Oryctolagus cuniculus: one gene and its partners. The protein of the gene in region 1 purifies or fractionates together with the protein of each later gene. This does not show direct contact. Links are inferred from orthologs where the notes say so. Each region holds a gene or a part of one and is shown in the gene's direction. Other genes may lie near its edges. The genes, in order: ATP6AP2, ATP6V1F and CCDC115.

The links.
Region 2: the proteins of ATP6AP2 (region 1) and ATP6V1F purify together in Homo sapiens (affinity purification with mass spectrometry; 3 studies listed by BioGRID and IntAct, counting the BioPlex papers as one, with this or other methods). This does not show direct contact. The link is inferred for Oryctolagus cuniculus from reciprocal best matches to the Homo sapiens genes ATP6AP2 and ATP6V1F.
Region 3: the proteins of ATP6AP2 (region 1) and CCDC115 purify together in Homo sapiens (affinity purification with mass spectrometry; 3 studies listed by BioGRID and IntAct, counting the BioPlex papers as one, with this or other methods). This does not show direct contact. The link is inferred for Oryctolagus cuniculus from reciprocal best matches to the Homo sapiens genes ATP6AP2 and VMA22.

The regions. Positions count from the first base shown.
Region 1 is NC_091453.1:26,472,245-26,479,879, forward strand, and holds part of ATP6AP2 (renin receptor), read left to right. Parts: intron 1-4,175; coding exon 4,176-4,271; intron 4,272-4,424; coding exon 4,425-4,562; intron 4,563-5,277; coding exon 5,278-5,331; intron 5,332-6,256; coding exon 6,257-6,406; intron 6,407-7,635. UniProt on the Homo sapiens protein: Multifunctional protein which functions as a renin, prorenin cellular receptor and is involved in the assembly of the lysosomal proton-transporting V-type ATPase (V-ATPase) and the acidification of the endo-lysosomal system.
Region 2 is NC_091434.1:165,052,323-165,060,417, forward strand, and holds ATP6V1F (V-type proton ATPase subunit F), read left to right. Parts: upstream 1-3,739; 5' UTR 3,740-3,944; coding exon 3,945-4,102; intron 4,103-6,061; coding exon 6,062-6,263; 3' UTR 6,264-6,563; downstream 6,564-8,095. Other genes in the region: protein SPMIP1, read left to right, coding at 7,151-7,571. UniProt on the Homo sapiens protein: Subunit of the V1 complex of vacuolar(H+)-ATPase (V-ATPase), a multisubunit enzyme composed of a peripheral complex (V1) that hydrolyzes ATP and a membrane integral complex (V0) that translocates protons.
Region 3 is NC_091434.1:120,827,136-120,835,497, forward strand, and holds CCDC115 (coiled-coil domain-containing protein 115), read left to right. Parts: upstream 1-3,790; 5' UTR 3,791-4,297; coding exon 4,298-4,408; intron 4,409-4,484; coding exon 4,485-4,588; intron 4,589-4,666; coding exon 4,667-4,749; intron 4,750-5,236; coding exon 5,237-5,368; intron 5,369-6,642; coding exon 6,643-6,755; 3' UTR 6,756-7,510; downstream 7,511-8,362. Other genes in the region: U3 small nucleolar ribonucleoprotein protein IMP4, read right to left, coding at 16-128, 214-287, 371-465, 549-703, 792-924, 1,023-1,132, 1,683-1,766, 3,312-3,420 and 1 more. UniProt on the Homo sapiens protein: Accessory component of the proton-transporting vacuolar (V)-ATPase protein pump involved in intracellular iron homeostasis.

The DNA.
Region 1 (7,635 bases):
ATTTGTCCTGTGCCTGGTTGATTTCACTTATCGTAACGTCATCCAGGCTTGTCAGTGTTGTTGCAAATGACAGGCTTCACCCCCTTTTTGAGACTGAATAGTCCTCCCTTGTGTGCATACGTCACACTTTCTTAATCCTGTCACCTGCGGGTGGACCCTGGGCCTGCAGCGGACACGGCGTGCAGGTGCAGACAGCCCTTTGGCGTGCTTTCATTTCCTTCGCATACACAGGCTGAAGTGGAATTGCTGGCTCAGGCGTTAGTGACCTGTTGCACAGAATGGTGCAAGAATGGCATAATAATAATGCATTGTGTTCTTCAAAATTGGTTAAAGAGTAGATTTTAGATGTCTTAGCCACAAAACAATGATAAGTACGTGAAGTGATGGATTTGTTAACTAACCTGATTTGATCATTCCACGATGTGTACATGTGTCAAAACAGCACACTGAACCTCATAAATATATACAATTATTTGTCAGTTAAAAACGAAAGTATGTGGAAATGATAAAAACAAACAAAAGATACGACTCCTAGGGTTTAAAATATACTGCACACCCAGCAGGTAAAGCCAAATTGGTATCTAGATATAGAGACATTACAAAAGGAAACAGAAGATCTTAAATGCTATCAGACAGAAAAGACATTATCGTTACAAAGGAATGAGAGTAGAATGATAATAGATGTCCCCTCATTGTCACTGCCACTGCGGACCAGGAGAGTCAGAAGGGAGAAGCAGTGATTGTGGGGTGTAAGGTAGGCTGCCAGTATTACTTACCTAGCGTCATAATGAAACAGTGCTAAGCAGGGACAATGCCATGGAACGATTGGGAGGCTGGAGAGACGGAAAAGGATCCCGGCGCTGGCAGGGGCTGGGGCTGTGCTTGGGGTGTGGGAGAGCTCATCCTCGTGTTCTAGAAGGGACAGGACACAGGAAGCGCCTCAAATGGAAACATCGATTCAGTGAGCTGAGTGTCTTATTTAGAGCAGGTGGTAAAAACAAAAGGAAGTAATTGACGGATTGCAAGCTGAGTCCCTCAGAAGGAATGCAAAGTGGCACAAGAAGTCTTATGGACCTGTTCGTCTCTTTAAGCCATGTGTGTATGTCACTTTGGAAAGAAATTTATTCTAAAAAATCAAGAAGAGTTGGAACAAATAGATACACTCTTAAATAATGCGTGGCTTGAGGAGGAAGTCACTGTGGGAATTTCTACAGTATTTGGAAGTGAATAGCAATGAATGTGGCATATATTTGTTACAAAGTTGTAGGGTGCAGCTGAAGTGGTAAGAGAAGGGAAATGTATAGCCTTACCTGTGCATGTTAGACAATTTAGATGGAGCACGATTGGAAATTAATGAGCTTAAAGAAACCAGAAGAGTTTCACAGGAAGTGCGAGTAAAGTGGGAGGGAACCATACAGATGAAAAGGCAGATTATTTTTCCCCCAGGAGTATTTATGTAATGTATTATGCAACTTCGGAGAAAAATATTATAGGAGATTTCCTTTAAATAAAAAAGTCCAAAATGCCATTTCACGATTCCCAGCAGCATGTAATCACAAAGTAGACACTGGCAAATGGCCCGGGCGCATTTCACACACCCGCAAGCTGGGGAAGGAGCTCTTTCTACTGCTTGCCCCTGATTGGCCGCTCTCAAAAACACTTTTCCCCCACCAGAAGCTGCTGAGACGTAAGGCTCAGAGCACAGACCCTTCATGATATTTTTTAAAACCTAGAAGTGTTAGCAGAGATGGGTGTGATAGGGTCTTGTCTGCTCGCAAGAAAGAATTCAGACGTGAGCAGAGAGTAGCAAGGTGTAATGGGGTGGGGCAGCCATGAGAACAGATGGGCACCTCTGCACACAGACTCTGAGAAAGAGCGCCCACTCACTCGGGCTGGGGAAGGCAGGGTCACAGGGTTCCATGGAGAGAATGCACCTGGCAGGCCGGGCGGGCGGCTCAGCAGAGTGCTGAGAGCTGAGCGCAGTCTGTACTCACGCTGGGGCTTCTAAGGGGATGGGCCCAGTTCTCTCCGCGTCTCCCCCTCCTCCTCCTCCAGGACGAAGGGTTTGCTGAGTGTGCGTTAGGTGAATTCCTCCCAAGGGTTCAGGACGCGGTGCTGTCAGACTGGGGGGGTTCCTGGCGCCAGGCAGAGGGGCTGCCCCTAGGGTGCCTGCCCTGGGGGAAAGCTGTGAAGGTTTTATTGCTCCACGTTGTCTGGTGAGGTAGCCCACGTTGTCTGGTGAGGTAGCCCACGTGGGGCTGAGGAGAGAGGATCTCGGGAGCTTTCCTGGGGCGGGAAGGCTGGGACCGCCTGGAGAGTTACTGGGCTCTGGGCAGGACTTGGTAGTGTGAAATCCTGGGCTGCTTCCCAGGGGAGCTTCTGCAGCTGCTTTGTCTTCCTTAGCCCACTCCCACCCCAACACACTTTCTAACTTCCACCCGGCACCCAGTGCCGTCTCACCAGTGAGATGTGCTGGCGAGTCTCTGTCACTTGCTCATGTCGGAGAGTACTTCAAAGAGTTTGTGGGAGATGGAATTACAAGATGTTTATTTTAAGACCTCTTGTATGCATGTATTTCAACTTTTTTGCACCAAAATAAACTTGTCTTTCAATTCCATTTTTCCTTGAACATTTTGAAGTATCTTGTAGTCCCTCCAAAGCCTGAGGAAGTGAGCTTTCTGATGGCAAAGGGAAAGCGCTGGCAGCCGACTCCAGGAGGCTGGCAACAGGAAGCTTTTGCAAGTTTGCACCCTCTTCAGTTACTCATTAACTCATTTTAAGAAAGTTTTTAGAAGAGTTAATGTGCATCCTAAGTAAGAGAAAAAATTGATTTCATTTTGCAGTATCATGAAATTGATAAGCTTAATTTTGATGCTGGGATTTCATCAGCAAGATTTATATAATCACATCGATTTCTGCCTGTAGCACATTAGCATTAATTTGCTACTTATAAACATGAACCGTTCAGTAGGAAAGGGAACTACTGGAGGAAAAAAATCACTACTGCTTGTTTGAGTACAGTAATATAAGGAATAATTTTTTGAGAAGAAAATATATATATATTTTTAAATATTTATGTGAAAGGCAGATCTGCAGAGAGAGAGGGAAAGACAGAAAGGCCTTCCATCTGCTGGTTGACTCCCCAAATGGCTGCAACAGCTGGGGCTGGGCCAGGCCAAAGCCAGGAGCCTCTTCCAGGTCTCCCACATGGGTGCAGGGGCCCAAGGACTTGGGCCACCTTCCGCTGCTTTCCCAGGCACATTGGCAGGGAGCTGGATTGGAAGTAGAGCAGCCGGGACGCCAGCACAGGCAGTGGCTTAACCTGCTGTGCCACAACGCCGGCCCCAATATATATTTTTAAATCACTTAAAGCAAAACAAGTATATGGGGCTAGAAGCCAGAGGGTGGAGGAGAGTGCCTCCGGGGCGCCAGCGTGCTCTGTGTCTTGATGTGGCTGCTACCCCAGGCACATTCCCTCGGAAGCCCTCGTTGAGCTGGGACCTTAGGGTTTGCGCCGTCTGTTGTATGTATGTTAACACTTGGCTAAAAAAAAAAGTTCAGTGAAAAAGTAGGTCTTTTCACAGCCAGCCTTTTCAGCTAATACCGTCATGTGGTCCCGAGATAAAGGCTTCAGAATTCTGGGGTGTGCTCTCCACCCCTTGTCTATGGGTCTTCAGGCCAGCTGAAGACAAACTCCAAATCTTAGGGAACATTTTTAAACTTTGAAAAGAAAATGAGGTCTGTTTTCTCTTACCGTTAAATTCAATAAATAATAATAAATGAATTCAGATTCCTTTAGCCTTCTCTTCGATGCAAGTTAATACTTTGCTGTGGAATGCACAATTCGATATGGTACATTTAATCAGTATTGAAACCAAATGTTTTGCTGCCTTGGATACACGAATAACCAGAAAATGGTCCGCGTTAGACCTGGGCCAATTATTTCCCACTTAGGCACACTGGCAGATCCCGACTCGGCCCACTAGGGGGCGGTTTCATCTTCTGTGCCCTCCACAGGGGGTCTTTTTATTCAGAAGTGATTTGTGTCTTCTAAATTTCCATAGAAAGTGCTGGTGCCTTCTCCTTGTAAGGCTCCTTTTCAATGCCATCTGAATGATTTTTCTTTCCACTTCGGTTCAGATAATAATGGTGGTTTTTTTACTCTTCTATTTCAGGCAGTTCCTTTTAGTCTTGACAGCGTTGCAAATTCCATTCACTCCTTATTTTCCGAAGAAACTCCTGTAGTTTTGCAGTTGGCCCCCAGTGAAGAAGTGAGTAATGAAGTTTTTATTGATGCTTTTAAAACTAACCTTTCATTATTTCATGATAACAACACTAACAATTTTATGAAAAGCGCTGTGAGACCTGGGTAAATTGGGATTAATCTGTAGACTGTCACGTAACATCTGGGATTCTCCTCGCAGAGAGTGTATATGGTGGGGAAGGCAAACTCCGTGTTTGAAGATCTCTCGGTCACTTTACGGCAGCTTCGTAACCGCCTGTTCCAGGAAAGCTCCATTCTCAATTCCCTCCCCCTCAATTCTCTGAGCAGGAACAATGAAGTAAGTGGAGTGGTTGCTGAATGAGCAAATGAAAATCATCATTAGTTTCCTATTCCTTATGCCGTTTGAGATTTTAGAAAATGAAAGTTGTGCAAGTTTTCTGCTGTAGTAGATTCTCTGTGGTTGTTCTCATATAGAGCTCGTGAGTAAACTGATTGTTTTTGTGAACTGAGCTGTAGAAAATAGTATTACCTTCTAGCATGAGGGTCCGGTCCCCCTCCACACACACTGCCACCATTACTCAAGATGGGTCAGAAATCGTGTCTCCTTGGCGGCTAGCGGAACCATGTAGTCCTGGTCACATGGAAGCCATTGTTCAGTGCTACTGCCACTTTTTTTATTTGAAAGGCAGAGTTACAGACAGAAGCAGAGAGAGAGAGAGAATCTTCCATCTGCTGGTTCACTCCCCAGATGGCCACAACGATGGGCTGGGCCAATCTGAAGCCAGGAGCTTCTTCTGGGTCTCCTACACAGGTGCAGGGGCCCAAGGACTTGGGTCACCTTCCACTGCTTTCCCAGGCACATTAGCAGGGAGCTAGATCAGAAGTGGAGCAGGTGGGACTCGCACCGGCACCCATATGGGATGTCAGCATTGTAGGCGGCAGCTTTATCTGCTACGCCACAGCACTGGCCCCTTCCGTGAGTTTTTTGAAGTCCCCTTGTACAGCTCTCTGATGCATATTTAAAGTAATGCTCGTTTCCTTTGGCTCTGAAGGTTGACCTGCTCTTTCTTTCTGAACTGCAAGTGTTACAGGACATTTCAAGTTTGGTAAGTTGCCTGCTCTCATTTCTCAGTTCCATTTGGCCTAGTTTCTAGAGAATTCCCTGAATGATAGTGAAGACATTTGAAAAGTTTATGCCCAAGATTTGTGATCTCATGAAAACTGGGAAATTAGTGGTGGTGTTGGGAGTTGTAAACTCATCTCATGTTAAAGACCAATTACTTGACGTTTCTACTCTTAGGAGAGACAATATATCCTCCAAGGACACAGACCTGGGAATAAGAACGCCTCAGCTGTAGTCCTAACTTGACCATTGAGTTCTTCTCAGACACTAAGACTTACTTTTTGCATCTTTGGGCCTAAAATAGAAATAGCACTTTGGGCTAATAGTGCTGTCGAAAAAGTCAAGAGGAACTAAATCTGTCTGAAAGGCATTTTTGTGGTGAATGCATTTTAGAAAATCATCCTTGTGACTGAAATCAAAATTCTTACCTATCTGCTTGCTGCTGAAGTTGGTTCCTAAGCTTTGCAGCAGGTGTTGCTTTGGGGGAGGGAGAAGTTGTGGAACTATAGTGCTGGGACGCTAGGAGGTGGTCTCGGAGGGCCCGTGGGAGGCGTCTCCCCTTTGGCCACCAGTGGCTCGTGTATTCCTGAGGCCAAGCCAGGCCAGCCATCTGTTCTTTAACCCCCGGGCTCGTATCTGAAGTTTTAGAACTAAGGCATTTTGTGATGAGCTTTTATTACATATTCAGGGGGTCCGGAACTGCTCCTAACAATGAGATTTGTGTTAGGTGGGTTTTATCAAAAACCTCCGCTTAAAGCCAGTTCCCCTCGCCCCCACTTTAGACTGTCTGTCTGCCGTGGCATGCTGCTGTGGTTCTCTGTAGCCCAGTGCAGTAAGGCATAAAACCTCAGATGGCTGTGTCTGATGCTGTACTTCATCCATGATCTTGTTTTATTTGTTCTGCTAAGTTGTCACGACATAAGCATCTAGCCAAGGATCACTCTCCAGATCTGTATTCGCTGGAGCTGGCAGGCTTGGATGAAATTGGGAAGCGCTACGGGGAAGAGTCTGAGCAGTTCCAGGATGCTTCTAGGATCCTTGTGGACGCCCTGCAGAAGGTAAATGCCCCCTGGGTAAGAGAGGCGGGGGCACGCCCGTCTCACGCTGAGCCTCACGGAGAACTGCTCCATGAAACACGGGCAAGTCTTACGTGTCCTCTGCGGGGGACCTCTCCGCACAGTGGCCAAGGACAGAGCGGGATCAAAGGTGGCGTATGTACATTGGGATACTTTTTCCTGACGTTGGAAGGGGCAGCATTAGGAAATGAGTGATACATCTGGTATAGTACTGTGTGTGTGTGTGTGAATATATAAAACTTACCATTGGAACCATTTGTAAGTGTATGGTTCAGTGGCCTCAAGCATATTTACATATTGTACAGCCATCACCACCTCTATCACAAGAACTTTCTTATTTTCCTCAGCTGAAACTCTGTACTCATTAAGCACTGTGAGATAGCCAAAGTAGAATACCTAGCACGGTGCCAGACATTTAGTAGGTGCATAATAAATGCTTGTTCTCTACCCTTGAAGTTGCCCACCTGCAGATCTCTAGTTCTTTGTAGAAGTTTGTGATTAACCAGAGAGGACTTAGGAAGACTGCTGTTTATTATTATTGATTTTTATTTACTTGAGAGGCAGAGAGACACTTTCCAAATGCCCACAATAGCCCAGGCTGGGCCAGGTCAAAGCCAGGCCCAGGACTCATTCCAGGTCTCCCACAGGGGTGGCAGAAACCCAAGTTCTTGAGTCATTTACCTGCTGTCCCCCGGTGTGGGCATTAGCAGGAAGCTGCAATTGGGAGTGGAGCCAGAACCCAGACCTCAGCACCGCGACATGGTGTGCAGGCGTCCCGAGTGGTGTGTTACCCACTGCACCGAAGGCCCCGCCCCAGGAAGATTCCTTCATTGCGCTTTCTGCTTCCCTTCCCCAAGTTTATATGCCAACAAGTTCAGTCTCAAAGTAATTTCATTTTATTTAGATGTTAAAGCTGAACACTTCTCTGAATCTATTAACATAATCAAAACCTTTAAGACTCGCATGTTTTAAGACATAGTGTATATCGTGAGCCAGTAGGTGAGTGTATGGTTTTGCAGCTACATGGAGGCTTTATAAACCATTTTAGTAAGAATGTATTGGACTCCGCCAGCAAAAAAAAAAAAAAAAAAGATACGCATGTGAATTAGCTCACTTTAGCCATCTTGCAATGTATGTAGGTCTCAAAACATGTTATGCACAATGAATATATACTATTTTTGTTTGTCAACATAAAAATGACAAATGTGTAT
Region 2 (8,095 bases), on another chromosome or scaffold:
GAGCGATGCACACCCCGCCCAGCCTTCCCAGGGGACTGATTTCTCTCCGTTTTTTCTTTTTCCTTTTTTTTTTTTTTTACGGTTGCACAGCTCTGCCCCATGGGGGGCCTTTTTTACACACTGCGAGGCCCAGCTTTCTGGGGGGATTTTTGCACATGTCTGCGGCTCATCTGGGAGCTGCCTAGGTAGAAAACTCCAAATAAAGTACGGCTGTCGCAGAGGCTCGGCTGTTGCTTGTGAGTGCGCGCCCCGGGCTGGCGGCCTTCCAGCCTCTCGACACTGCGGTCCTGGGCAGGCGGAGGCTGGATCGCCATCCCCAGAGGACAGGCCCGGGCTCGGGCAAGATCTGGGCTGTTGGCCGAATGCTTGGAAGAACCTGTGATGGCCGCTTGGGGATGAGGGCTTGGTCCTTAGCTAGAGGGTTGGTGGCTAGTACAGGGTGGGGGTGGGGGGACTCCATGTCTTAGAAGACTGCCCTAGATGGCTAGTTCTAGTTCATCCTGTCCTCAGTGTCTGGATCAGACTGGGCCTGCGCTACCCCCACCTGTAGCCCTGAGCTTGCCTGGGCCCGGATTCCTGGACCAGCCGCCTCCATTAGGCCCCCCTGGCCCTGGCCAGCTCCCTCCAGCCCACCCTCTGGGCTGCAGCTGGAGGAGGGGCACCCTGAACGCACTGTGGCCGGCTGTGGTTTGTGCCTTTCTGTGGCTCCCTCTTGCCCCCGGCTAACGCCTACTCTTCCAGGCCGAGACCCAGGAGGCTCACTGCCAGCCCCTCCACCGGTGCGACTCAGGCAGTGTGCCCACTCCACACCATCCACTCCAACCCCTCCTCTCGGCCTCATGAGTCCCCCATTCCTCTTGGCCAACAGGAAGCTGCCTGGCCCCCTCCCTGGCTCAGCAACCCAGCCTCCATACGGCCCAGGCTGCATTCACCGTTCTGATCTGGCCTCTGCCGCCAGACAGCTCCTGGCCAGGAGGCCCTTCTGTGGGTGCCAATGACTCAGTTCAAGAGCACCCGAGAGGCTGAGCAGGACCAGGACCCGCCTTGCTCGGTGGGCCTGGCTATCCCATGCCGGTCCCCAGGCATTGTGGCGCATGGTGGCAGGTGCACCAGGGAAGACCCGAAACACTTGTAGCTGCAGCTGGTAACCACCTCCTCCCCGCCTCCTCACCCTTTAAGCTGCTTCTCTTCCCGCTCAGGGAAGGAGGGACCCTGCCCTCCTTGCTCTGGACCCTGCCCCCAGGCCCCGCAGGAAGCTCCTGAGGACAGAAGTTCCCTTTTACCAACCCTGTGTCTTCGGCCCCTGATGATAATCCCACTTGATAAAGGGTGGCTGCAGGAAAGAGCGAGCGGGTGATGAGTGTGACGCTGTCCCTGCCCCTTCCGTGACTGGCAAGCGCATGGAAGGTGCTGTGTCCTATTAAGCACCCGGCACTCGTGACCCCCGCAGGCCAGCTGGGCGCCAGGCACTGCGCCCAGGGCTCGGGGCAGGCCCTTCCTCCCACCCCTCCTGCCCCCCGCCCTTGCATGGAGGGCTTCCTCTGAGGGTTTGCTGCCTGCCGACTGTGTGTGTGGGTGCATTTCCGGGTCTCCAGCCCAGCCGCTCGGGGCTCTGGGTGCTGAGTATTCATGGGCCCTTTCTCACTTCATCCCCAGAACAGCCCTGTGAGGTGGGCGCAGGATTAGCTGAAGAAACCCGGGCTCTGAGAATGGAGGTCCTGGGCCCAAAGCCACCCACTGCTACGTGAGGGGCCCGCATTCAAACGCAGGGGTGTGCACACCCCAGGCCTCTCGTGGGCCAGCCATGCGGGCATCTCACGCGCTCCTCACACACAGCTCGTGCCCGACGCTGGGGATGTCGTTTGTTGAAAGGGAAGATAAATGAGTGGTCCTTTCCCCTTCAACCTCCTCATCTCACAGAGTCCACTATTTCCGGAACATTCCTCATGTCATTTAGCTGCACACACCAGAAACCTGGGAATCACCTGGGCGCCTCTCCACCTTGCTCTCCACATTCGACTCAAAAACCAGTTTCGGGGGTGGGTGTTTGGCACAGCTGTTAAGATCTTGCTTGGAACTGCTGCACCCCATGTTGAAATGCCTGGGTTCAACACTTTACCGGCTTTACTCCCAATTACAGCCTCTTGCTAATGCAGACCCTGAGAGGCCACGGGTAATGGCTTGAGTAATTGGGTTCCAGTCACCCACACGGGAGACTTGATTGAGTTCCTGGCTCCCAGCTTTGGCCTGGCCCAGAGCTTACTTGTTCGCTCACGCACTCTCTCTCTCCTTGTCACCCAAATAAATAAAATAAGCAAAAATCAGTTTGGGAGCAGGTGCTTAGCCTAGTGGTTAAGACACCAAACTCTGGGCCCAGTGCTGTGGCATAGCGGGTAAAGCCACCGCCTGCAGCGCCAGCATCCCATATGGAGCTGGTTCAAGTCCTGGCTGCTCCACTTCCAATCCAGCTCTCTGCTATGACCTAGGAAAGCAGTGGAGGATGGCCCAAGTGCTTGGGCCCCTGCACCTGCATGGGAGACCTGGAAGAAGCTCCTGGCTCCTGGCTTCAGATTGGCCCAGCTCTAGCTGTTGCAGCCATTTGAGGAGTGAACTGGTGGATGGAAGACCTCTCTCTCTGTCTCTCTCTCTCTCTCTGTGTCTGCCTCTCCATAACTCTGCCTTTTAAATAAATAAATAAATCTTAAAAAAAAAAAAAGACACCCAAATCCAGGGGCTGGCATTGTGATGTAGCGGGTTCACATCCCAGCTGCTCCACTTCCAATCCAGCTGCTTGTTAATGGCATGGGAAAAGCAGCAGAAGATGGCCCAGTGTTCGGTCTCCTGTCACCTATGTGCATGTGGGAGACGCAGATAAAGCTCCTGACTCCTGGCTGTGGCCTGGCCCGCATCCCAGACAGGAAGACCTGAGCCAAATTCCTGGCTGCAGCGTCCCGACAACGCACACCCTGGGAGGCAATGACTCCAGTAACTGGTCCCTGCCACCCCCAGGGGAGACCTGGGTCACATTACCAGCTCCTGGCTCTGGCCCAGCGCAGCTCTGGCCGTTGCAGGCAGTGAAAGGGGGCTTTCTCTCCATGTCTGCCTCTAAAACAATTAGGGTTTGTCCATTCTTCTCCAGCCACCTCCTCTATGACCACTGCTGGAAATCGGCCACCATCTCTAACCACAGAGGCGTCCCAGTGTGCTCTCTGCTCCTGCAGCCCCGCCTCTGTGCACCACAGTCACACGGGCAGCTCTAGAACCGCTGTCCTCAGGGAAACCTCCAGATTCTTTAACTTTTCCTGAATGCCCTATACTCTCCAGTGCAAGTGGTTTTTGCCTTACCTTGAACACTTAAGATGGGTGCAGGGGCCCAGGCACTTCAGCCATCTTCCGCTGATTTCCCAGGCCATGCAGGGAGCTGGATCGGAAGTGGAGCTGCCCGGACTCGAACCAGTGTCCATTTGGGATGCAGGCGCTACAGGTGGGTGCTTAGCCTACCACGTCACAGCACCTGCCCCTCAGTTTAACTTCTAATTCCATTCTCCCACAAACTTTCTGTATTCAGTAACTGTTAACTATGAGTCATGGCTACATACATACATACATGATACAGACATGTTCTTGCCCTTGAGAACAGCGAGTGCAGTTTCTCCTGCGGGGTCCCACAGCGCTGCTTCTGCAGAACGAACCAAGCAACGCCAATAGGAAGCCGTGCGGCCGCTCAGCCTTCTGGGAATCGTAGTCCTCGGGTTCGGCCTCTCTTTATGGCGCAGGCATATTCAGGTTGAGGCGGCCTTGCTGTTAATGCGCATGTCCTGGAGGCGGTGTGGCCGAACTGCGCATGTCTGAAAGGCGGGGGCGAGGCCAACCCGGCTACAGGTGCGGAAGCTGGGATTCGGGGACTTCGGGAGCTCGGGGCCGCTCTCTGCGCCGCGACCAGGATGGCAGGGAGGGGAAAACTGATCGCGGTGATCGGAGACGAGGACACGGTGACTGGCTTCCTGCTGGGCGGCATCGGGGAGCTTAACAAGAACCGCCACCCTAATTTCCTGGTGGTGGAGAAGGACACGACCATCACCGAGATCGAAGACACTTTCCGGTACGGTCGCCTGAGAGGCCTGAACGGGCCCTTCTGCCGCCTGGGTGGGAGCGAAGGGGCGAGGGGCGGCCGCCCGGGGACCGAGGTGTCAGACCCCGACCCGAGGGCGGGCCTCCTCACGCCGGCCTGGAGGCCTCTGCGCCCCCCGTCCCCCGTTCCCTCTTGCGATTCGGTGGGCCTGAGGCTGTGGTCGTGACAGGTCCGCGCGCTCCCTCTCACATGACCGTGTGTCAGGAAAGAAGAGGAAGAGAGCTGGTGACGGGCACAGCCGGCTGCGAGCCTTGCAGGCGCTGGGCTGCTTTGCGCTCGGTGCGCACCCGTGGAGCCGGGCTTTCTCCTACTTCCACATCCTCTAGGGGCTCCCAGTCGACCTGGAAGGTGGGGGTTAGTGTTCCCATTTACAGGTGGTGGTACCCAAAGTCAGGGCTGCTCACACCTTGCACCTCACGTCCTCCTCTCCTGCCCTGGGTCAGGGGCGACGGTCGCAGCTGAGCCTTTTAATCCGCAGGTGTCCTGGTGCTAGAATGGAGCTGCCCTGGTTCCTTCACCCCTTCCCTTTGCCGAGTCTCAGGAATTCTCTCACTTGTTTCCCCCTAAACAGCCCAGCCCACAGCTGCTGGCTGAAACCAGTTCTGCTGCCTGGGGTACCGTGGGGCTTTGCCCTGGGGAGGCAGCTGTCTGCGGATCACCAAGCAGTCTGGCAGGGTGACCCGGGTTGTCATGGGACAAGGAGGAATTTTACTCCAAGGATTGTCCATGCTTCCAACCAAAAAGAAACTTCGAGATCAAGTGTTGCCGGGCACAGGGTCGGGCACAGGGTGGGTGCCCAGGACGGAGCTCTTCCTGAGAAATAACGCACGGGCCGTCCCGGGCCAGGGCTCCGCAGGGCCAGGGCCGTCTGTGCGGAAAGTGCGAGCCCTTCAGTGCTGAATTCCTCTTCCCACCTGTGCTTTGGCCTGGGCCAGGCACCCCGTCCTCCCTTAGCACAGACATGGTGACCTTGAGGCCCCCTGGGTCCTGTTTTTCGAAAATGTAATGGATTTGGTTTCCTCTGGACATTGAATGCCTTCATGTGGTTTCCAATTCAGTTTTTAAAAGGTATACATTGAGGCCGGCGCCACGGCTCAATGGGCTAATCCTCCGCCTTGCGGCGCCGGCACCCCGGGTTCTAGTCCCGGTCAGGGCACCAGATTCTGTCCCGGTTGCCCCTCTTCCAGGCCAGCTCTCTGCTGTGGCCCGGGAGTGCAGTGGAGGATGGCCCAAGTGCTTGGGCCCTGCACCCCATGGGAGACCAGGATAAGTACCTGGCTCCTGCCATCGGATCAGCGCGGTGCGCAGGCCGCAGCGCACAGGCCGCGGCAGCCATTGGAGGGTGAACCAACGGCAAAGGAAGACCTTTCTCTCTCTCACTGTCCACTCTGCCTGTCAAAAAAAAAAAAAAGGTGTACATTGAGGAGCCTCCTGCCACACACACACACACACCCCATCTCCCTGTCTGCTCCTGTAGACAGCCATTTAGCTTCTGCCTGATCACTCTCCTAGCTCTTCATGCAGATAGGAAGGGATGCATAGTTGCTGGCGCTGGGGCACAGCGGGTTGAGCCGCCGCCTGCAGCGCTGGCATCCCAAGTCCAGGCCGAGTGGCATCTTAACCGCTGAGCCGAATGCCCGCCCCACACGTATCCCCACCCTTCCCTGTCTGATAGCAGGGCAGCACCCTGAGCGCACGCGTGGACACCCTCATCTTCAGCTTTGGTTCACTCGGAAGCTCCCCAGGCAGGGGCGTACAAGCAGGCCCTGGCTAACAGAACCCTGAGCTCTTGAGTGCAGTTGATTCTGGGTCAAGCAGACTCCACCTTTGCCCTGGTCCTCTCTGCTCCCCGGGTCACTCCTCTTCCTCTGCAGTTCCGAGCGGGCCGCCGGGAGCTGCCCCGGACTCGCTTCTCGTCTCTCCCGGCAGGCAGTTTCTCAGCCGGGACGACGTCGGCATCATCCTCATCAACCAGTACATCGCGGAGATGGTGCGGCACGCGCTGGACGCCCACCAGCGCTCCATCCCGGCCGTGCTGGAGATCCCCTCCAAGGAGCACCCCTATGACGCCGCCAAGGACTCCATCCTGCGCAGGGCCAGGGGCATGTTCACCGCCGAAGACCTGCGCTAGGACACGCCCCGCGGAGCACGGCCCTCAGCCCCTCCCGCCCTTCCAGGCCTCTCCCCGGCTTTGTCCCCAGCCCCGCTCTGAAGGTTCAAGCCTCTGATTTCCACGTCTCCACTCCTTCCCACCCCAGGGAGAGGCTGTGTGAGGGGCATCTAGGTTGCTGGGATGCTGCTATTAAAAGCCAGGCTGGTTAGGGAACAGGAGGCCTGACCGTCTTCTCTCTCCACGACCTCTTCCCCGTGCTGTCGCCCAGTGTCGTTGTCCATGTTAAATTAAAGTAATATTCTGGCTTCTGTCCAAAAACTGGGCCTGGGTACTGGACAGGAAGGGGGGGGGGGGAGATGAGGCTCCTGGGGGAGATGAGATTGGCAGGGGTGGAAAATGTTCCACCAAGGACCAGGCATGGACGAGCTGGCCCAGGAAGATGTGCCAGGAGGCCCTAACTCAGGCACTGGCCCTCTGGTTCAAAAAGACCAGCTGGGGGGGTGGGGGTACGAGGCTTGAGCCCAGCCTGTGGCTCTCCCGCCTCAGTCTGCACTGGGCAGAAGGGGGCCTGAGCCGGGGGAAGTTAGCAGAAAGCACAAGAAACCTGGGAGCCGGTGATACCAGATCCTGCCCGGGGCCTGCAGCGCCAGCCGGTGTCAGGATCCCAGCACTGGGCCCGGGGCCTGCAGCGCCAGCCGGTGTCAGGATCTCAGCACTGGGCCCGGGCTCCAGGCTGCCTCAGGAGTGGGGCGTGTGAGGTCTGTGTGGGCGCAGCAGGTGGAACCCTGCCCCTGTGTGAGGTGAGGCCTGGTTGCCTGGTGACTGCCCCAGGGCGGCCACCTGCTGCCAGCCGCAGTGTGCTTGCCGTGCTCGCCCTTGGCACGGCTCCCCCACCCCCTGCCGCCATGTCTCGGCAGCTCAACATGGACACGCTGCGGCAGAACTTCTGGAAGGAGGACTATTTAAGGGAGAAGATGTTGCGCTGTGAATGGCACCGCAAGTACGGGTCGCTGGTGAAAGCCAAGCAGAAGGCTAAGGCCGCAGCCCGACTGCCCCTCAAACTGCCCACCCTGCAGCCCACGGCCCCACCCGCACCCCCTCCTGCCCCCGGAGCAGCCCCTCCCAAGGCGCCCAGCCCTGCCGCAGAGGCTCCCCTGCAGTCGGAGATGTACCCGGTGCTGCCCGCCACCCGGGCCCTGCTGTACGAAGGCATCTCCCACGACTTCCAGGGCCGCTACCGCTACCTGAGCACGCGCAAGCTGGACTTGCCCGAAACACGCTACCTCTTCCCCATCACCACCAGCTTCACATACGGCTGGCAGCTCGGTGAGCCCTGAGCCCCGCAGGTTAGGCACCTGCCCCACAGCAGCGCCAGGTGCCAGGGAGCGGGCACATTCAGGAAGAGAAGGGAAGGTACAAGAGGGACAGGCACCATGGAGAGGTCTGGGGGCTCGGGAGAGGCCTCTGGGGCCTGAAAGCTGAGCACTGCATGACAAAGAGGAGTTGGGATTTTATTGAGAAGCCAATGGAAGGTTTTAAGCAGTGGGTGGTCCTGATTGGCTTTTTTTAAAAGAATTACCCCAACTGTTCTATAGGGAATGGCTTTTTTTTTTTTTTCCTTTAGTGAGAATTGGAGACTGGTGAGTTAGGCATCTGTGTTGAGTTATCCTGGCATGAAATGACCGTGACCTGGGCTAAGGCTTAGCAGTAGCGCTGCAATCCAGGGTACTCCGGAGGAACACTCAGTGGGACTCACTGCTGGACTGAGTGTGGGAGTAAGGAGCCGAGGGAGTCCATGGCGGTGCCCCGGTGTGGCTGGAGCTGCTGTGACAGGATAGGGCTGGCGAGGG
Region 3 (8,362 bases), on another chromosome or scaffold:
TGACTTGCAGGCGGCTCACTCGGCACTCAGGAAGACCCTCTTGCGTGCGGTGTTGGTGTAGGGGTGCCAGCGCCACTCCACATCGGCCGTGGCCTCCTGCTCCAGCGTGCCCAAGCGGATCATGTACACTGGGGGAAGGGGGACAGGGACGTCACCACCAGCACAGCAAACCTCCTCCCCTCTCCAGGATCCGGAAGAAAGCCCCACACTCACGCTTCAGCTCAAAGCGTGGCCCGACCTCGGTGAGCTCCACGTTGCGGTGGTCTGTCTTCTTGTAGACATGGTGCCTGCGGGGACAGAGCCAGGGTAGGGGGTGGGTCGACCGCAGCCATGCAGGGACACGGCAGTCAGGCCCAACCTGCAGACTTACCGGAATGAGATGTAGTCGTCCTGGTTTGCAAAGGTGATGACCCGGTGGCTGTCGTCTTTGGGCACAGGGAATAGATAACGCAGTATGTCGGAGACCTGGGGCACAGGGAAGGGGAGTGTCCACGCCTGGCCTGGCCTGGCCCGGCCCCCAGCTGCATCCCGAGGGCCCCCAGACTCACGCGCTTGCCCAGGCGGGAGGTGAAGCCGTGTGTGATGAGGTGGGGCTTGGCCTCCGACATGGTGCCCAGGTCAGGGATGTCGTGCCGCATGACCACATTGCAGAGCGTGAAGTAGGCCGTGGGGCCGAAGGGCAGGTGGCTGACAATGAGCCCCACTGCAGGGGGCAGCCGGGCAGTCAGAGTCCCCGCCTACCCCCAGCCTGCCCTTCCCCTACCCCACCCTCCCGCCGGCCTCAACCTCACCAGGTGTGCCTCGGTGCTCGTGGACCACCAGCAGGTCAGTGACCCCATTGGCTTTGCAGGCTCGCACCAGGGCCCCCACCTCATGGCGGCCTCGGTTCATGCGCTGCGCACCCGGGAACACCAGCTTCAGCTCCTGCACAGGGACCACAGCGTTCGGTCAGGACGGCGGCGGGGGGGGGGGGCGTCCTGGGTGTCGTCCCCCCACCCCACTCACTCCCAGCCCACCGGTACCTTCGCAAACATCTTAAGGCGGGAACTGGGGTCCCGGGAGGTGGTGATCATGATTTTGGGGTCCTCAACCCCCGCCCACCGATATTCATCATCCATGTGGCTGGTCACACCTGTCAGGAGCATGAGGAACAAGAATACAACGCTGCTCTGGGGTGAAGGGCTACCGTGGGGCGGCCGGCTCTGTCGGAGAACGAACACACGGACACACACACACACGCGTGAGCGCGCAGTCGACGAAGGAAGTCTCCTGTGGGCGCTTGTGGCTGCCATGTCAGTGCAAATCCCAGCTCTGCTAAGGTCTACACCAAGTATCTGTAAGGTTTCAGATTCCTTTCCTCCCCGTTGAATTACACAATGAATGAAAGGTCAGACTGCCAGCGACGTGCTGGGGACACTGTCCAGCCCCGGCAGACACTCCAGGGGCAGAGATGACCAACAAGAAGCAGCGGGTATGCGGGGGTGCCACCGTGTGTGCAATCGGGAGCACCATGCAGACACAGGGGCGCTGGGGGACGGTTCCGGGGGTGACTGCTGTGCCTGTTTCCTCAGCCAGGAAGAGCCCAGCGTGTCCAAGAAAGACACAGACAGAGAGGCCAGCGGTGCTGTACTGGGGACAGGACTCAGATCCCAGGGGCAGGGAGGGCCACATGGCATAGTCACCTTCACCGCCGGCATCATCAAACTCCAGGGATCCCTGCAGGGCCAGCGCCTCCCGGCGGAGCTCGGTGGGGATCAGGCGGTTCTCTGCAGAGGAAAGACAGAGGGGCTGAGCGACACACAGCACGGACCCTCGGCTTCCACCCACATCCCAGCGCACAGCCCCCCGGAACCTGACGGAAAGATCCCTGCTCCTTTTGGAGCACAGGGGATGCAGGGTAACTAGGAGAGGAAGATGGCAAAGCAACACATTCTGGCGACGTGTTAACCTGGGAATGCTGGGTCCTGAAACTTCACTTTCTGGGCTTCCTGGCGCTCACGAACTGAAGGCTTTCTAGCTTACCGCAAGCACATGCATTATTTTTAAAGCCAAATGGATGGGTCAGCATTCTGGTGCAGCAGGTAAAGCTACCACCTGCAGCGCCAGCATCCCATATGGGTGCCAGTTCGTGTCCTGGCTGCTGCACTTGCAGTCCAGCTCCTGGCTAATGCTCCTGGGAAAGCAGAGGAAGAGAGCCCAAGTGTCTGAGCCCCTGAACTCATGTGGGACACCTAGAAGCAGCTCCAGGCTCTTGGCTTGGGCCTGGCCCAGCCCCAGCCATTGTGGCCATTTGAGGAGTGAACCAGCAGATGGAAGATCTCTCTCTTTGTCTCTCCTCCTATCTCTATAACTGCCTTTCAAGTAAATAAAAAGCAAATCTTAAAAATAAAGCCAGATAGCACAACTTTTTTAAAAATATGGATTTCTTAAGGCCTCAGCAAGGAGAGCACTGAGCGAGATGCACCGAACGCCTGCAGGTGCATGGCCTCAGCTGCTTTGGGTCAGAGGTTCCTCAGGACCACGGCTGGGTGGGCTGAGGTGCTATGCTGGGGGTGCCCTCCCTGGGGTCCAGAACTCCACCTGGGCACACCCTGGGAACCCCACTGCTCCCCAGACAAAATGGGTGTGATGTAAGAACAAACAACAGGAAAAGAACAGTTTATTCTTAAGTCACACTCCTAAGTTAGGGAAAATATTCCCAAATCCCAGTGTAATGATCGCTTGTCACTTCTTAAAGGTAGAGGGATGTGTCACCAGTACGTAACACCATGTGTACACTTCACAGGCCTAAAACCAGGGGACCACAGAGTGAATGCAGGTTCTTCCGAGGAACTAGGGGAATGCACTACCATACAGAAAACAAAGTTCCATTGGCAGAAGCACCAACAAAACAGAGATAAACCCGGCATTTCCAATCTGGCATGTGTGCCACAGACTCCACGCTGCAAGTGGCAATGAAAGATTACTGGGGCCAGCGTTGTGGCACAGTAGGTTAAGCCTCAGCCTGAATCGCCGGCATCCCATATGGAAGCCGGTTCGAGACCCGGATGCTCCTCTTCCAATCTAGCTCTCTGCTATGGCCCGGCAAAGCAATAGAAGATGGCCCAAGTCCTTGGACCCCTGCACTGCCAAGAGCAGCAGGAAGAAAAACCACGGCGGGGAAAGGCCCTCCAAGACTCCGCTAAAACATCCACGCTGGGGACGAGCCACGCGGAGGCTACAGCGCACAGGGCGGCTCCGCGACGCGACACAGCACGGGCAGGGGTAGACCCACCGGGAGCCGACCCCGCCCGCTCGACCCCACACCCTACCTTCGAGCGCGCGCCGGACCTTGTCCTTCCTCTCCTGGGCCGACCGCTGCGCCTCCTCGCGGGCCTTGCGGTACAGGTACTCGCGGCGCAGGCGGGCCTCGCGGCGCAGCTATCGAACAACAACTCCGGTCACCACCCGCCCCAGGCCCGCAGCCCCAGCGCCAGCCCTCGACGAACCGCCGCCCCCCGAAAAGAAGAGCTCCAACCTCACTCCTACCATGATGGGTGCCCCTTCCACGTGCGAGGCAGGAGAGAATGTGGAGACCGCTTGAGCGGTGCTGCCCTCACTTCCGCCCTCACTCAGGAAGGGCGCTCCGAGGCTTCGCAGCAATCGCCTACTATTGACAGCGCCCGAAGTTAAGGTGGCGAACAGAAGAAGGGCGCCTCCAGGCGATTGGCCAGTCCGGCGCGCGTGCTCGCTGGAGTAACCAATAGGCTGGAGGCAGAACGCTGTCACGTGACGTGGGAGGGCCGTTAACAAATACGTCGGCCGCCGAGGGCTTCCGGAGCGGCTACCCACGGGCGATAAACTGCTACAGCAGTCATGATTGACGACTCGAGAAAACCTATCGGCTGTAACAGTAACACAGAGAATAATTGGGAAGGTACCTGAAGGCGCCTTCTGTAATTAAAGCCACTCTTTCCTTAAAATGGTTGCCAAACGGCTTCGCCTTTTTCCATTGCTATAGTGGTAGGATGATTTTTAAAATGCCACTTCCTCCACATTTAGCCCTCGTAGACTGTGCAGCTGGTTGATCTACTTGGGGCATTAATTGAGGAACTCGGCTCCTATACTTCCCGCCGGGAGCCTGCCCTTAAACTGCGTGATGCGATGAGAGTCTAGATACCGTTGGCGTGTCCGGGTCCTTTGGATGGGAACGCCCCCTTGGGGCGTGTCCCGCATGCCGATTGGCTGATTGGGCGACCTGAAGGAGGCGGCTCCAGACCCGGTCCTCAGCCGACCCGAGACCGAGTGTGGCGGCCCCATGGCGGCCCGGGACGTGCGGACGGAACTGGATTCGCTGATCCTGCAGCTGCTCGCGGACTTGGAGGAGCTGGAGGCGAAACGGGCGGCGCTGAACGGCCGTGTGGAGGAGGTGAGCGCCGGGGGTGAGCAGGGGGTGGCACTCGCGCGGAGGTAGACCGAGTCTCCAGGCTCTCGCTTCTCCACAGGGCTGGCTGTCGCTCGCCCAGGCGCGCTACGCCATGGGTGTCAAGTCGGTAGGCCCCCTGCAGTACGCCTCCCGCATGGAGCCCCAGGTGTGCGTGTGCGCCAGGTGAGGAGCCTTGGGTTCCGGAGCGGGTGGGCAGGGTGCAGGGCCAGGCCGCCGACACTGTCCCTTTTCGTCCTCCAGCGAGGCCCCGGACGGACTCCAGAACTTGCGAGTGGTGAGAGCCGGCGCCCAGATTCCGGAGGAGGTGGGGCCCCGCGAGGCAGGTGAGCCCCCTCCCCCTCTTGTCGGGGCCCCGTCCCGATGTCACGGGCAAAGTGCACACGCAGTCCAGGAGACGGTTCCGTTCAGGTCTGGAGATCATCGTGTCTAAGTAAGCGGAGGGTTACAGAAGTGTTGTAAGCGGTTTGCTGTCCAGGGAACCGGAAGTGCCCATCTTGTGTCCGAGCGACCACCTGCCGCTCCCAGTTAAGCATCCCTGAGACCGAATGGGCAGCTGGCGGGTCCGTGGCCCGTCAGCACGTTCAGGCAGGTGGGTAAGGTCGCTGTGTGGCCTCGTCCCGGGCAAACAGGGGCCTGTGAGGGAGCGAGCTCAGAGAGTGTCATCCCAACCCTGGGAGGCAGGCTGGCTGTTTCCAGGAACGCGAAAGGCCGGGGTTTTCCAGCCAGCAGTGTTTTCCAAGAATCACGAGCTCACCATTAAGCTCAACACCGTTTCCCAACCCCAGCCTCCTCCAACGTCTCCTTCCCCAGCTCTGCGCCGGCGCAAGGGCCCCACCAAGACGCCGGAGCCTGAGTCTACCACAGCGCCCCAGGACCCCCTGAACTGGTTTGGAATCCTGGTTCCTCACAGTCTGCGGCAGGCGCAAGCCAGTTTCCGGGATGGTGAGTGGTCGCCGTCATTCTGGAAGCCCAATCAGGAGTAAAAGGGACAGACCCCTTCCCTAGACGTCTGTTTTGTGGAGGGGAGAAAGACAGGGTGCAAAGAAGTAGGCCCTTAATGTAAAACTTGTGGGGAAAAAAAAAAAAAAAACACAGACTGCGGGGTGGGGGGTGGGGGGGTGTAGAGAGGATCTCATGTTACAGGAAGGATGGAGGCGGTTGGTACAGTGGCAAGGCCAGGAGCTGAGGGCAGGGGATCCAGGCCTCTGGGCCCAGGTGATGCAGGCCCCAGAGAAGAGGACCCTGGGAGTCCGAGGGTAGCTGTGAGCAAGAGATGGCACAGTCAGACTCCCAGAATAACAGGCATTGTTTGGGTCCGGCACTTGCTGGGGACAGACTGGAGAGCAGGGGGAGGGAGCTGGTGCCAGGAGCAGCCAGGTGTGCGATGCAGGTGGAGGCAGTGGAGGGGCACGTGTGCCTGGAGGGACCTGCGTGCGTTTTGAGAGTAGAAGCCCCGGTATGTGCTGACCAATTGGATGTGGGGGTCAAGGGGAGTCAAGGAGAGTCCACAGTCTCTACCAGATGGATATCGGTGGCAGCAGGGTGTGGGTGCAGGTGTGTTCTGAGTGAGGTGTGGTGTCCACCATGCCCAGGGAGAAGCTGAGTGGGTAAGTGGGCACACGTGCCTGGAGCTTAGGAGAGGCCCGTGCTGGAGACACATTCAGGAGCCCACTCCATAGTGCGGTGTCTGAATGACCATGTGGCTGACACAGATGCAGGGTTAAAGCAGACACAGGTTGAAATCAGCACGGGCCTGGGGGTGCAGAGAGGAGACTGAGGAGCGGCACCCAGAAAGCGGGGGTGCTGGAAGCCCAGAGGAGAACGTTTTCTGGTGGGAGCGATGGAATGTGTGGTCAGCACTGCTACTAAGCGGGCCACCAACAGAGCAGCATGGACAGCAGCTGTTTCTGTGGACACTGGGCAGAAAGCGGATCCGGGGTGTGGACTCTTCTGGTGGAGGGAGAGTGGGTGAGAGCAGTGAGGGCCTGTGACCGGCGGAGGGAGGAGCTAGGATCTGTGACTTGCTAGTGAGTCCAGGGGGCCAGGGAAACCTGAGGAGGAGGTGCCATTGTAGCATCCCCCTAAAGGAGGTGAGGGTGATGAGGGTGTGGGCTCAGCATGGTTGTAGAGCAGCCAGGGCAGGCCCCCTGCCTGGAGCTTGTCATGAGCTGTATGGAGGACAGAGGCCACAGTGACCCTCTCTGCTTCTTCTCCAGGCCTGCAGCTGGCTGGGGACATTGCCACCCTCCAGATCCGCATCAGCTGGGGTCAGAGCCAGCTCCGGAAGCTCCAGGAGAAACTCAGGCAGCTTGAACCTGGGGCTGCCTGACCTGCGAACCCAGGGGCCAGGGCCCAGAGCACAGCTGTCCAGGGATGTGGCTATCTCGCCTGCCGTCTGCCTCCTTCATGAAGAGCCCCTGCCCCTGGCCGCAGCCCAGCTAATGTCCCCTCCTTCCAATGTCCCTGGTTTCCACGTTTGAAACTCGGTTAGGTGTGAAGTTTGAAGAGGAGTAATGTTGAAAACCACTGCTTTGAGACCACCTCCAGGCCCATGTTGCCTGGGGCGGGTACACAGGCTGCTCACTGCAACAGTCATTTAGATGGGTCAGCTGAGGCTCCACTGTGGGGGAGGGGAGGTGGCTGCCACGGCAGGGAAGACCCAGAAGTAGTGCTTCCGGCACACTGGCTCCTCAAAGGGGCCGAGTGGAGGGCGGGAGCTCCAGGCTGTGGCTGCACCGACCTCGGTTGTCAAGGGTCCCGGTTGTCAAGGGTCCCGTGAGGAGAGACCCTCGGGGCTTTTCAAAACCTGCCTTTACCTTACCCGGAGCGAGGCCAGGCCTCTGGTCACGTGTTGAGGGGCCATTTGTGTTTCCCTGTGCGGGAACTCTGCCCTCGATTCCTTTTTCCACTGAGTTGGTCTTTTCGGCCATCTCTAGGAGCTCTTTCTGTTTGGGGGGAATTCGTCCTCTGTTCATAATACCAGCTGTAAAATGTTTCTTTCCAGTGTGTCTTTTAACTTGGCTTATGGGGTTGCTCTTTACAATTCTGTATTATGAAATAAAACCTCGATCAAATTGCACAAAACAACGGAATGGCTTAGGAAGTCGGGCGTGTCAGCGGTCGGGGCCGCGGCTGAGCAGGGCTGAGCGACAACCCGTGGCCGGGGCAGGGAGTGGGGCTGCGTCTCGCTCGCCCCTCCAACGCCGGCCTTCCTGACCACCTGGGGCTGCAGCCCGGACCGGGGCCGGACTCGGAGGTGGGCTGGGGGAGTCGGTTTCCCGCGGCGCCTGAGTGGGAGCCTCCAGGCGGGACGGCCCACCGCAGCGTGGGGCTCATGCCGGCATCCCGCAGTCCACGCTGGGCCAGCTAGGGAAACAGGCCAGAGTACGGACGCGGCCGCAAGCTCGGGCCACGTTGGGACCACAAAGTCTGCCTGGGCACACCAGTCACGGCCTCGCGGGCACGCTCCGCAAATGGGCGGAGGGGGACAGCAGATTCCCGGCAAAGCGCGCTCCACCCGCCGTCTTGGCTTCGGGTCACAGTGCGGATGGGGCCGGGGCTGGCGCAGCCGCAGTGAGGACCAGCTGCCGGCGGGCGGGGCGGGGCGCGCGCTGTGGTGCGCAGGCGTGTTGGGGAGGTGCGCGCGGCCACGCTGATGTAACAGCCGTATGCAGACACAGGAACCACCCATCATCAGTTCCCATATGGTCTAGCGGTTAGGATTCCTGGTTTTCACCCAGGCGGCCCGGGTTCGACTCCCGGTATGGGAACGAAGAGTTCGTTTTTCCTTTTTCTCGTTTTGTTTTTTGCTTTCCTCCTTTCTCCTTCTACCCTTGGGAAAACTTGCTCCTTGCCTTTGGTTGCTACCTGTGGCTTGGAAATATCCACGTGGGTTTTGTTTTTAGGCATTACAACAATTTGTCATTGGAAGCTAAG